Macaca fascicularis: one gene and its partners. The protein of the gene in region 3 purifies or fractionates together with the protein of the main gene of each other region. This does not show direct contact. Links are inferred from orthologs where the notes say so. Each region holds a gene or a part of one and is shown on either strand. Other genes may lie near its edges. The genes, in order: CALR, CANX and HSP90B1.

The links.
Region 1: the proteins of HSP90B1 (region 3) and CALR fractionate together in Homo sapiens (co-fractionation; 4 studies listed by BioGRID, with this or other methods). This does not show direct contact. The link is inferred for Macaca fascicularis from reciprocal best matches to the Homo sapiens genes HSP90B1 and CALR.
Region 2: the proteins of HSP90B1 (region 3) and CANX purify together in Homo sapiens (affinity purification with mass spectrometry; 4 studies listed by BioGRID and IntAct, with this or other methods). This does not show direct contact. The link is inferred for Macaca fascicularis from reciprocal best matches to the Homo sapiens genes HSP90B1 and CANX.

What each region holds. Positions count from the first base shown.
Region 1 is NC_088393.1:13,336,182-13,340,345, reverse strand, and holds the start of CALR (calreticulin), read right to left. Parts: upstream 2,926-4,164; 5' UTR 2,855-2,925; coding exon 2,764-2,854; intron 2,403-2,763; coding exon 2,301-2,402; intron 2,109-2,300; coding exon 1,905-2,108; intron 1,483-1,904; coding exon 1,388-1,482; intron 1,296-1,387; coding exon 1,086-1,295; intron 999-1,085; coding exon 885-998; intron 796-884; coding exon 652-795; intron 1-651. UniProt on the Homo sapiens protein: Calcium-binding chaperone that promotes folding, oligomeric assembly and quality control in the endoplasmic reticulum (ER) via the calreticulin/calnexin cycle.
Region 2 is NC_088380.1:186,570,616-186,574,951, forward strand, and holds the start of CANX (calnexin), read left to right. Parts: upstream 1-1,466; 5' UTR 1,467-1,634; intron 1,635-3,565; 5' UTR 3,566-3,675; intron 3,676-4,336. UniProt on the Homo sapiens protein: Calcium-binding protein that interacts with newly synthesized monoglucosylated glycoproteins in the endoplasmic reticulum. It may act in assisting protein assembly and/or in the retention within the ER of unassembled protein subunits.
Region 3 is NC_088385.1:110,862,676-110,866,305, reverse strand, and holds part of HSP90B1 (endoplasmin), read right to left. Parts: intron 2,747-3,630; coding exon 2,635-2,746; intron 2,084-2,634; coding exon 1,964-2,083; intron 909-1,963; coding exon 792-908; intron 1-791.

The DNA of each region.
Region 1 (4,164 bases), on a different chromosome or scaffold from region 3:
CACGAGGTCAGGAGATCGAGACCATCCTGGCTAACACAGTGAAACCCCGTCTCTACTAAAAAATACAAAAAAACTAGCCGGGCGAGGTGGCGGGCACCTGTAGTCCCAGCTACTCGGGAGGCTGAGGCAGGAGAATGGCCTGAACCCGGGAGGCGGAGCTTGCAGTGAGCTGAGATCCGGCCACTGCACTCCAGCAAGGGGGACAGAGTGAGACTCCGTCTCAAAAAAAAAAAAAAAAATTGTAGAGATAGGGTCTCCTCACTACGTTGCCAAGCAAGGTTGTCTAACTCTTGGCCTCAAGCAATCCTCCTGCCTCAGTCTCCCAAAGTACTGTGATTATAAGGGTGAGCCACTGTGCCCAGCCCCAGCTAACTAAGTGGGTTACCTGACCACCTTCTAGTTCTTTGGGGGTATTTAAAGAAGTTGATTTGCATAAAAGTACTTGGGGAAGTACTTAGTTCACAAGAAGTACAACCTCAAAAGCATTGCTGTGAGGACTCCACAGGGACAGACCAGGAAGTACTGTTTACAAAAAGTACCATTTTTGAGTCAGACCCGCCTGGGGTGTGATCGTATCCTGTCACTTTCCCCTTGGGTGATCTTATGCACTTGAGGTACCCCAGGGATCCTCCTTTTTCCTCCAAGTCTCACCTGCCAGAGGTCCAGGCCCAGCACACCAAAGTTATCATAGGCATAGATACTGGGATCAGGAGAGTACTCGGGATTGTCAATTTCTGGGTGGATCCAAGTGCCCTTGTAATCTGGGTTGTCGATCTGCCGGGGCTTCCACTCACCCTGCAGAAGGAAGAAGGGAACTAGAGGGTGAGTAAGGTTGGTGCACTCCCCACTGTGAGCCCCAGCCCTGCTCAGAGCCCCAAACTCACCTTGTACTCAGGGTTCTGAATCACTGGGGGTTCCCACTCTCCATCCATCTCTTCATCCCAGTCCTCGGGTTTCTTAGCATCGGGGTCAGGGATATGCTCGGGCTTGTCCCAGTCCTGGAGGATAGATGAAGAGGTCAGAGTTGGCCCAAATGTCCTCACACCCTCCAATGTGGAGAGCAGAGCCCCCACCCAAACACCAACCTCAGGCTTGGAGTCTGTGGGATCATCGATCTTGGCCCGCTCATCCCAGTCTTCAGGTTTTGAAGCATCAGGATCCTTTATCTTCTTGGGTGGCAGGAAGTCCCAATCGTCTTCCAAGGAGCCCGACTCCACCTGGCTGTTGTCAATCTTCACCTCATAAGTGTTGTCTGGCCGCACAATCAGTGTGTACAGGTGTGTAAACTCGTCATCCTGAAGAAGGAAGAAGGTGAGCAGCCCCCCCTCAATCAGGCTGACCTCTGAACCTCCCCATGACACCCATTTGCCACCACCCCCAGGCACACCTTGCAACGGATGTCCTTGTTGATCAGCACGTTTTTGCCCTTGTAGTTGAAGATGACGTGAACCTTCTTGGTGCCGGGGCCACAGATATCAGGACCTAGGTGTGAAGCAGATCCAGTTAAAAGTCAGAGACTACCCACCATTTCGAGTTCCTCACCCCTCTTTACAAAAGGAAGACCTGGTTCCTAAACTCGGGTCTGTCAAGGCTGAAAAGAGAAACTCAGACCCTGATTCTGTCCTGAATGGGTTGTGGGTGAAGCCTTAAGTTTAAATTAAAAAAAAAAAATCAGTGCTCTAGAACTCAACATCCTCATTTGTAAGATTGGGAAATAACTATATACAATGACACAAATTAATTAACAGCCTAGATCTGCGATCATAACGCAATAAATTGTTGCTGTGACTTAATTATTTTAGCGCCCCTTCCAAAGACAATCATAACTATTAAGAAAGTCAATGGGGTCTGGGTCTCCCTCCAACTAATGGGACAGAGGTCAGCACCAGGAAGCAGCCCCTCACCAAACATGATGTTGTATTCTGAGTCTCCGTGCATGTCCGTCTGGTCCAAACTATTAGGAAACAGCTTCACATAACCGCCCCCACAGTCGATGTTCTGCTCATGTTTCACCGTGAACTGCACCACCAGCGTCTGGCCTTTGTTGCTGAAAGGCTCGAAACTGGCCGACAGAGCATAAAAGCGTGCATCCTGGCTTGTCTGCAAACCTGAGACGGGACGGTAGTGTGGTCACCGTTGGGTCCTGACCCGCGAGGATCCTCGATTTAGACGATACAGACGACTCCCCCACTTCCTCCACCTGCCCTGCTCCTAGGGGACTGTCCCGGCTGTGTATGTGCGGACAAGGACTTCTGCCAGGAAGTCCTCGCGGATCTGAGCACCCACTCCTAAGCTCTTACCTTTATCTTTCTCCTCGTCACCGTAGAACTTGCCGGAACTGAGGACGAATTTGCCAAAATCTGACTTGTGTTTGGATTCGATCCAGCGGGAAGTCCACCCGTCTAAGTGGGGGGTTAGAGAGTTAGGTCAGCGCGGCTCTGCTAATCCCCCCCACACCAAGTATCTGCGGAGAACCACAAGCTGCTGGGGACAGGGAAGGAGATCCCCGACTCTCCCCACCCCAACCTCTAGTTGACACGTCGGGTGCCTTCAGCGATCCTCGGGCGAACCCTAACTCCCGCCGCGGGAGGCCGCTACGCCTTCCGCGTTCCCCAGGGACGCAGAAGAGGGATCGCCCGCAGCTCCAGTCGCCGGGGACCACTGTGTTGGCCCTCTAAGCGGTAATTACGGGCGACGACGCAGATCCGAGATGGGGGGCCGGCCGCGTCGCCGGGACGGCCTCGAGGTGGGACCAGGCGTTACCTCCGTCCAGAAACTGCTCCTTGAAGTAGACGGCGGGCTCGGCGGCGGCCAAGCCGAGGAGGCCGAGCAGCAGCGGCACGGATAGCAGCATGGCGGGCCGAGGGGGCGGCGGCGCGCGGGCCCTTTAAAACGACCCTCCGGCGGCGGCTCTGCAGTACGGACGGACGCCGCCGCCCGCCTTGCATTTTTATACCCACCCGCCTCTCAAACCAACCTGACCCAGCCCTTGGGCCCGCCCCTGACACTTTATCATTGGCCTGCGCCCACGGCCGTCTCTTTCCATTGGACCTTCGTCAGTTCACTAGGTTAGGCTGCGCCTCGGAACGCTGGGTTCCCAGATGGCCGATTTCTATTGGCCTCACCACTGACCAATGATGGTCGACCACGCGTTGTGGGGGACGCCCACTGGTGGGGTGGGGGCCGCGAGCCCCTCAGGCCAGGTCATGTGACCAGACCTGAACCTAAGACCGCCCTTGCCCGTGCGCGTCGTTCCCCATCTGAGCGTTTAAAGAACCCGCGGGAGCGCAGGTGTTTCCACGCGGGATCGGGACCCCGCCTCAGCTTCTCTTCCTCCCGTTCCCTCTAGGTGGAGGGGCTGGGCAAGGCTTTCCTAGCCAGTTCTTATCTTGCATTTGGGAACCAGCACCCCACTGCTGCTCCCCAACCCCCGCCCAGGATAGGAGAGAGCTCATGGGTTGGGGCCCTGGGGCTACGCTGCACCCCGGTGCTACAGCCACGCGGGCCAGTGGGAAGAATGCCAGCCCTCTCCTCATTCTGCCCCTAGGGCCCTGGCAGCCTATCAGACTGCTGCTGTGTGACTGGGGCAAGTCACTTAACCTCTCTGAAGTGACAGACGTTCCTGAGCAGACAGAGGGGGTGACCCTGGCCAGGTGCTACCCAGCAGAAATGCTGTTAACGTTTTTAAAGCTGGCCTGGGACAAGAGGGGAGGAAGACTTAACGATGTGACTGTGACTCCTGGGGTGGGGATAGGGTTATTACCCAGATTGCAGCAGCCCCTTTACTCTCGTCTCAACCGGTAAATGAAGGAGGTCGCTGTCTGTGGTCTCCCACAAACGGCCTGGCTTTTGCAATTAAACGACTATAGGCGAGAGGGCAGGGGGTTCCGTTTGGGGAGGGAAAAAAGACACAGATGGTAGCGAAGATAAGGTGCTAGGGAGATGGGCAGGACCCCCCCACCCCACCCCAGTCTGGAGTCTTCTGAAGCCAGAGGCACGTGACTGGCACCAGTACCCTGCCCCCACGCTGTAGAAAGGAGATCTGGGGGTTTTCCAAACTCTGGGCAAATAAGCCCTGGACCTGGGAACACGGGAGTGGACTATGGAAGGAGGGAATGAGGGGGATCCAGGAAAGAGGGTGAGGAGGGGGTGCTTCCTGGCTAA
Region 2 (4,336 bases), on a different chromosome or scaffold from region 3:
GAGCCACCGTGCCCGGCCCCTGTAACTACATTTTAAGCTCATTATTTGGATCGTGTACCATCCAGAATTTTATTCTGCTTTGAATAGCTGCTTCCCCAGGTAGACAGGAAACCAAAATTCTCCTACACAAATTTTGGGGCTGAGGGCAGGGCGCCTGGCTCATGCCTGTAATCCCAGCACTTTGGGAGGGGCGAAACAGGTTGATCACCTGAGGCCAGCCTGGCCAACATGGTGAAACCCATCTCTACTAAAAATACAAAAATTAGCCGGGCGTGGTGGCAGGCGTGTGTAATCCAAGCGACTCGGAAGGCTGAGGGAGAATCGCTTGAACCCGGGAGGCGGAGGTTGTAGTGAGCTAAGATCGCACCACTGCACTCCAGCCTGAGCGACAGAGCAAGACTTCGTCTCAAAAAATAAAAATAAAAATAAAAAATTGGGGAGCTGAGGGTTGGATGATACTAACTCATGCAAACACCAAACCCTGCCTTTCTTCCCCTTCCAGGTGGCAAGAGGGCTTTGAGATCAGTGATACATCCGCTGATTCTAGTGTTTTCCACCCAAGTTTTCAAGCCTGTGGGTGTCCAAACAGAGGACAAGAGATCAAGATCTCTAAAGGTCTAGAAAAACCCGGGGCCACTTCCATTTTGTGAGGTTCTCAGCATACTGAAAACTGAAGACGTGCTAAGAGTGGGTTACTAAAATGGTGGCGTATCTGAAATCTTTCCACGGCACCATGCCTTCTCTCATCCTGTCATCCCTGTATCTCAGGGCTCATCCTCTGCCCTGACCCCTAATCTCACTTCAGGAAACATAAATTGAAAGTTCAGATAACCTCGGATTGTGTTACTCTGGATTGTGTGTTATGCTGGGCGACGAGGCTGCGCAGGCTCCTGCGCCGAGCCATGACTCTGCAGGAACTGCGGCGCCGGCTCACACGGCGCGGAGCGGGGCACGGCTGGCCGGCCAGGCGCCCGCGCTGCGTTCTGCTCACGCCCATAGGGGCCCGCGTTCGCTGCAACCGGCCCTCCTTGATGGCTGATCGTCGCACTCCCACCCCTCCCGCCTGCTGCCGTTTGCCCCGTCAGCTAAGGGCGCGCGATGCGTCCCAAGTCTCGGCTCCAGCAACCAGACGGGTGAGGGCCGCTGGGGGTTGGGTTGGAACGCCCCCGAAGGCACCACGGCAACCGAGCGCGGGAACGCCTGTTAAGCCAGCCCCGCCCCGGGACGCGCGCGCCCGGCGCTCTCGATCCAGCGTGGCCCGCCCCTCACCTCCCGCCCAACCAACAGCCACTTCCTGCCTCACTCCCGACCAATCGTCACACTCCACGAAGAATAGCCGTAGGGGGCGTATGGGACGGTGCGTAGAGCGATGCCCACGCCGGCCAACCGGATGTCGGGGCTTGCGCGGGTGGGCGGGACTTGGCGCCGGCTGTGGCTACTGAGGGGCCAGGGGCGGGCGCAGGGCCGGGCTTAGTGCGGTGGGGCTCGCTCGCGCGGCAGCGGTGTCCGAGGCCTGTTGGTTCTGCGGCACGTGACGGTCGGGCCGCCTCCGCCTCTGTCTTTACTGCGGCGCGGGGCCAGGTGTGCGGGCGGGAAGGGGCACGGGCAGCCCCGCGGTCCCCGGGAGGCTAGAGGTGAGACGGGAGACCTGAGTGCGTCCTCGGGCCTGTGAGGACCCCGGGGGCTGGGAGCGCCTCTGCGGCTGAGGGGTCGGGCGTGGCCGGGGACTGAGGGGTCGGGCTGGCTCTTGAGGGCCCAGGCCCTGTCCGACGCGCCCGCGGTGAGCGGGGAGGCCCGAATTCGGGCCTCTTTGGTTGGGGAGCGGGCCCAGGCCGCGCGGCCGGGGTCGGGAGGCGTGGCAGGTGGCCCTACAGCCTTCCTTGACCTCTGGGAAAGCTGACTTATTCCTATGGCTTTGCTTCTAGGGCTTTCTTAGGCCTCTTTGCCTGCTGCCTGGCAGCCGCGAGGTGGGCTGGAGTAACTGGGTAAAAGTGTGGAGTGGAATCGGGCCTGCTGGGTACCCCTAGCAGTAGGGAAGGATGGTGTTAGACCGAGGGGGAATGTTTAGGATTAGCGTTACAGTTTAGTATTTGAAAATCCAAAGAGTAGACTGGACCCTAGCTCCCTGAAGAGAAAGGGGAATGTACTAGAAGGAGAACACGCAGTGGTTGAGAAACTTGACAGTTACAGCACCTATTCTGGAGGAGAGTCATCCAGTTGGAGATGGACAGGGCGTTAAAAGCAGGAAAGCACCCGAAAACTCATCTCATGCATCTGTTTTTACAGGGGAGGCCTAGAGGTATGAAATGACTGGCCCAAGGTCATGCGATTAGTTTAATGATGGTGCTGGGATTATAGTTCAGGGATAGGCAGTGCAGTGGTTAACGTTAAGGCCCTGGCTCAAGTCTTTCATTGGTCATTTGTTGCTCTGTGAACTTCGGCAGGTTTCTTACCCTTTGTGCCCCCGTTCTTGTCAAGTGATGGATATAATAATACCTGATGGATCTGTGAGGATTACATTCAGATATGTATACAATAAGGGAAGTCTGACATTTAGTAACTGCCCTATAATTACTGCAATACATTATTATAATCTGAATGCCTTTGGACCAATACACTGCCATCCTAGTGAACTGGTTCAGTCCTGTTTCCCAGGACCTGAAGTCACAGTTATGGTGATGGAAGAAACTGGGCATTGTGTATTAACTGTTAGGTATGACACAAGTGATTGCTGGTTGAGGGAAGTTAAACTGAGCTTAATATTAAAAGATTGAGAGGACAAGATGAACTATAGTTAAGTCTTTTTACCTCTGATTTAGGAAATGGAATATTTTGCTTAATTTTTTAATTAGATTTTTTTAAGGGGGAAGAATTTTATTGATCTTTAAAATCATTCTGTATCTCAGTCTTTTCCCAATATTGTTTGAGGGTCATGAATAGAATCAACTGCCATGTTAATCAACTGTTGTACATTTGGTGTAATTATACTTAGAGCAGAGGTAAAGGACTATGTGGGAGTTCTTTGCATCAACCAGGGTGCACAAACAAGCCAGGTAACTGGGTCATGAGAATGCCCGAGTGAACTGTGTGTGGGGTCAGTGTTGCACAACAGAAATTTTCTGACTTGGCTGCAGGTGGGTGTCAGCATTCCCCCACACCTTACTATCTTGACTCCACAGTTCATTTAGCGCATTATCTTCTCAGGGCCACAAGGGGTAAATGTTTTGACAAAAGTCGTTGCTGCCGTTTTGGCAATCACACTATTGCATCCTTGTAGTTAGAGTTCTCTTTGCCCTGGAAGACAGCTTAAGGGGATGAAGTGGCAGTTGGTGAGCATGAATTGCAGGCTCATGAAACTTGAATTGTGGGCCCAGTATGGTAGCTTTTTTTTTCTTTTTGAGGCGGAGTCTCGCTCTGTCACCCAGGCTGGAGTGCAGTGGCACGATCTTGGCTCACCGCAAGCTCTGCCTCCTGGGTTCACGCCATTCTCCTGCCTCACCCTACCGAGTAGCTGAGACTACAGGCACCCACCACCACACCCGGCTAATTTTTTTGTATTTTTCAGTAGAGACGGAGTTTCACCGTGTTAGCCATGATGGTCACGATCTCCTGACCTCGTGAACCACCCGCCTCAGCCTCCCAGAGTGCTGGGATTACAGGCGTGAGCCACCACCGGTAGCTTTTGTCCTACTTTTGTTTCCGTAACTTTAGGAATACGAAGTCTGCTGGGTTCTTCACCTTTAGGGGGCAATTGGGAGGGGCAGATAAAACGATGAACATGGAACTAGTTTAAAAAGTGTAATGAATTGGCTGGGCACGGTGGCTCTCACGCCTGTAGTTCGAGCACTTTGGGAGGCTAAGGTGGGCAGATTACTTGAGGCCAGGAGTTGGTGACCAGCCTCGCCAACATGGTGAAACCCTGTCTCTACTAAAAATACAGAAAAAAATTAACCTCTAGCTACTCTGGAGGCTGAGGCAGGAGAATCACTGAACCTGAAAGGCGGAGGTTGCAGTGAGTGGAGATGGTGCCATTGCACTCCAGCCTGGGTGACAGAGTGAGACTCCATCTCAGAAAAAAAAAAAAAAAAAGTGTAATGAACTGTGGAAATAGAATACATAGTTCATAATAACGCCTAGGAAATAATGAAAGTACCTAAACACAGTTATAGCCTATATAGCTTATGGTGAAACTTGTCAGGAAAGTCCTGGTTGAATTCTTTGTTACTGCAACAGATGTACTTTTTTTTTTTTTTTTTTTTGAGACTGAGTCTCCCTCTGTCACCCATGCTGGAGTGCAGTGGTGTTATCTTGGCTCACTGCAACCGCCGCTTCCCGG
Region 3 (3,630 bases):
GGAAACTAACTTGAAACAACCTTTATCAATGCTAGTTTTGCATTCTTAAGAGTTACAAGAAGGGATCAGTAAAAGGAAAAAAAAAAAAAACAGGCAAGGAAACATAAATTTGGTAATTATTCCTAGGCATAGGATCTCACAATAAGTGTTTGATGTCGTAAGCAAGCTCTTTAAAGATTATATTAAAAGCCACTTAACAACATGATTTCATGTTTTACGGGTTTTGTGGTGGAAATCACACATCTACCTATGTAGGTGGTTCTTAATCTTTTTTTGTCATACAAAACCCTTGGCAAGCTGGTGAAGCCTACAGATGCCTTCTCGAAATAATTTTTTTTTTAAAAACCACATATTACAAAATACACAGCAATAAAAAGGAAACCAATTGTGTTTAAACAGCCAGAAAACTGTTTCAAACATTCTTGATTTTGTAATGTACTATTATATTAACCAAGAGCTAGGACGAATTTTAATAACTGCAGCAATTTTGAAGTAGTGATGAGCATAATAATTCAACTTAAGTAAAAATGGTGTGTTCTGGAAACCAATTACTCTCAAAGACCATCTTTACTGAGATATCAATCTCAAAGGTTCATAAATGTGATTTTACTTACGAGTAGGTCAATAAACCAGAAGTAGACGTATTATAGTTGGCCTAAAGGTCTTTTTTTGAATTTTCTCTCTGGGAAAAAATGGGAATGGACCATCTCATATTCAATGGTCACATACCATACACAATTAAACTAATAGGGTGATTCATTAATAACCAGAAGCTAGGGAATTATATTTACCTTTGAAAATGATTTGTAGAAAGCTTTGTATTCATCTTCTTCTACTTCTTTTGATGGTCTCTGCCATATTGGTTTGATATCATTCATAAGTTCCCAGTCCCAGACAGTTTTTTCAACCTGAAGTTATTATAGTATTTGATTAGTCTCTCTTAGCAGTCACCAAGGTTATCCGAGCAGTAACCATGGCTTCAGTAGATTTTAAAAGACTATGTAAAGCACCAGAGGCCCGGTGTGGTGGCTCACGCCTGTAATCCTAGCACTTTGGGAGGCTAGGGTAGGAGAACTATTTGAGCTTGGAGTTCAAGACCAGTCCAGGCAACATAGCAAGACCTCCATCTCTACAAAAAACTTTAAAAAATTAGCCAGTCATGGTGGTGTGTCTGTTGGTGGCATGTGTCTGTGGTCCTACCTAGTTGGGAGGCTGAGGTGAAAGGACTGCTTAAGCCTAGGAGTTCAAGGGTGAATGAAGGGAGCTACGATCATGCCACTGCACTCCAGCCGGAGTGGCAGAGACTCTGTCTCCAGATTAAAAAAAAAAACAACTCACTAAAGGATACCTGTTATCTGGGAAGGTTTCTGCCAACTGTATCAAAAGCAAAGTATTTTTCTCAATATTTAATTCAAAAAGATAATTGCTAATTGATGAAAAGCCAATTAAGGTTTTTTATTGTTATTTTTAACTAGCAAAAATGTTTCTTGAAAATATTTGTTTTGAGGTTAGAAGGAAATACATATTACATATTCGTATTTCATGACTTAAAGAAATCCAACATTTTACAAAATATTTCTCAACCACCATGACCAATACTTCTTACTCTGCTACCTAAGCAAGCCAGAGAACCATTTTTATAGTTAATCCCTACATGATAAAAAGACAAAAGAGGTCTCAGAAAGCTTTTTAAGATTTTAAAATTCCAAACATATAAGTCACCAGTCCCAGGCAATATATAAAAGTCAGAAAATTCTTCATAAAAATGACCTGGGTTTGATACTTAAAACTTTCTACAGGACAATGTACTCAACATACAAAGGTCTTATTTTAAAAGCTGGCTCCATGGACTTAGCACTGGAACTGAAGCTGACTTCAACTCAGCCAGTGCATACTTGGGTTTTCCTGGTTTTGCGTATACATGTTAAACGGTATCTTAGGCAGGGAGATGAACCAGACTTACTTTTTTAGTTTTTGGTTTCTTTTCTTCTTCTTCTTCCTCTACTGCAGCTTCATCATCAGATTCTTCTTTCTCTTCTTTTGCTGCTTCTTCTTCCTCCATGGGCTCCTCAACAGTTTCAGTCTGTTGAAATAAAAGAAGAATTATGGTTAAATCCATTTGTTTAACAATTCTGATTTTGTCTACAGAAATATGACATAACATTACAGCTCAAAAAAATAGGTTTTTGCAAGAAAACCCTGCGAGTATCCTTAACATTATAATAGACCACATTTTGCCTTCATTCTTTTTTTTTTTTTTTTTTTTTGGGAGACAGAGTCTTGCTTTGCTGCCCAGGTTGGAGTACAGTGGGGCAACCTCGGCTCACTGCAACCTCCGTCTCCCAGGTTCAAACAATTCTCTTGCCTCAGCCTCCTGAGTAGCGGGGATTACAGGCATGTGCTACCATACACCCAACTAATTTTTTTGTATTTTTAGTAGAGACAAGGTTTCACCATGTTGGCCAGGCTGGTCTCAAACTCCTGACCTCAGGTGATCCACCTGTCTCGGCCTCCCAAAGTGCTGGGATTACAAGCATGAGCCACCGCGCCAGCCCGCCTTCATTCTTTTAGTGTTGAATATTTAAACATGTTGCCAAGGTAATACATAGAAGTTTTTAGTCAATATAGATTTACCTTGCTGCTCCATACATAAATAGGAAAGTTTATGAACTGTGAATATTTTTTGACGAGATTTTTAATTGTATCCAATTCAAGGTAATCAGATGCTTCTTCTTTTAAGACAAGGCTGCAAGAAAAATTTGATGTTTAGAGACACCTAACATTTAGAAGATCCAATTATAAATTCATCTAAATACCATGGTAATAGCCAGCAGTTCAGTGTAATCCAAGATGTCCTAATTATTCGTGTTAACTCTCCATCACCAACAAGGGTTTGTGAGCTAAAATGTAACACATATACAGTAAAGAGAAGAATCTCCTCTACATTACCTCAAGTGGAGAATAACATTGTTTTAAGTAGAAAATTAAAATATCCTCAACCTTCTGAATAGATTGTTTGTTTTCATTTCTCAAGGTGAGAAAGCACTGAAATATTCTGGAGAAAAATGGAGTCATGCACTCTCGTAGCTCTTACTGTTATTCTAGAAACCTAATGAATATTGTAGATAACTATTCCTAATTAATGAAAACATTTTCCTTAGAAAAGCTAGCAAATTAATCTGGATTATTTATATTTATATCCGCACTATCCAAAATGGTAGCCACTGGGCACATGTGACTTATTTTTTAAAAATGTACAGTTCAGTTCCAGTTACGCTGCCACATTCCAAGTACTCAACAGTCACATGTGGCTAGTGGTTGCCAAAATGGAAAGTGCAGATATAGAACATTTCTACTATTACATAAAATTCTACCGGGCAGTGTGGGGATTACAGGTGTGAGCCACTGTGCCCAGCCTAGAACCCACTCAGTAAGTAGTCAGTCCATATCTTGATATTTGTGTTGCCAATTAAGTATGGGAAATGGTCTATATGTGGTTCCCTCCCTGTCTCAAAAGGCTCATTAGTTTAGTGGTACCTGGCCAGTAAGTAGCCATGATATGACAACAAAGCCTAGTGAGTGACTAGGCCGCTGGTCTCAGAGCACATGTTCTAGTGATTTGGGGATTAA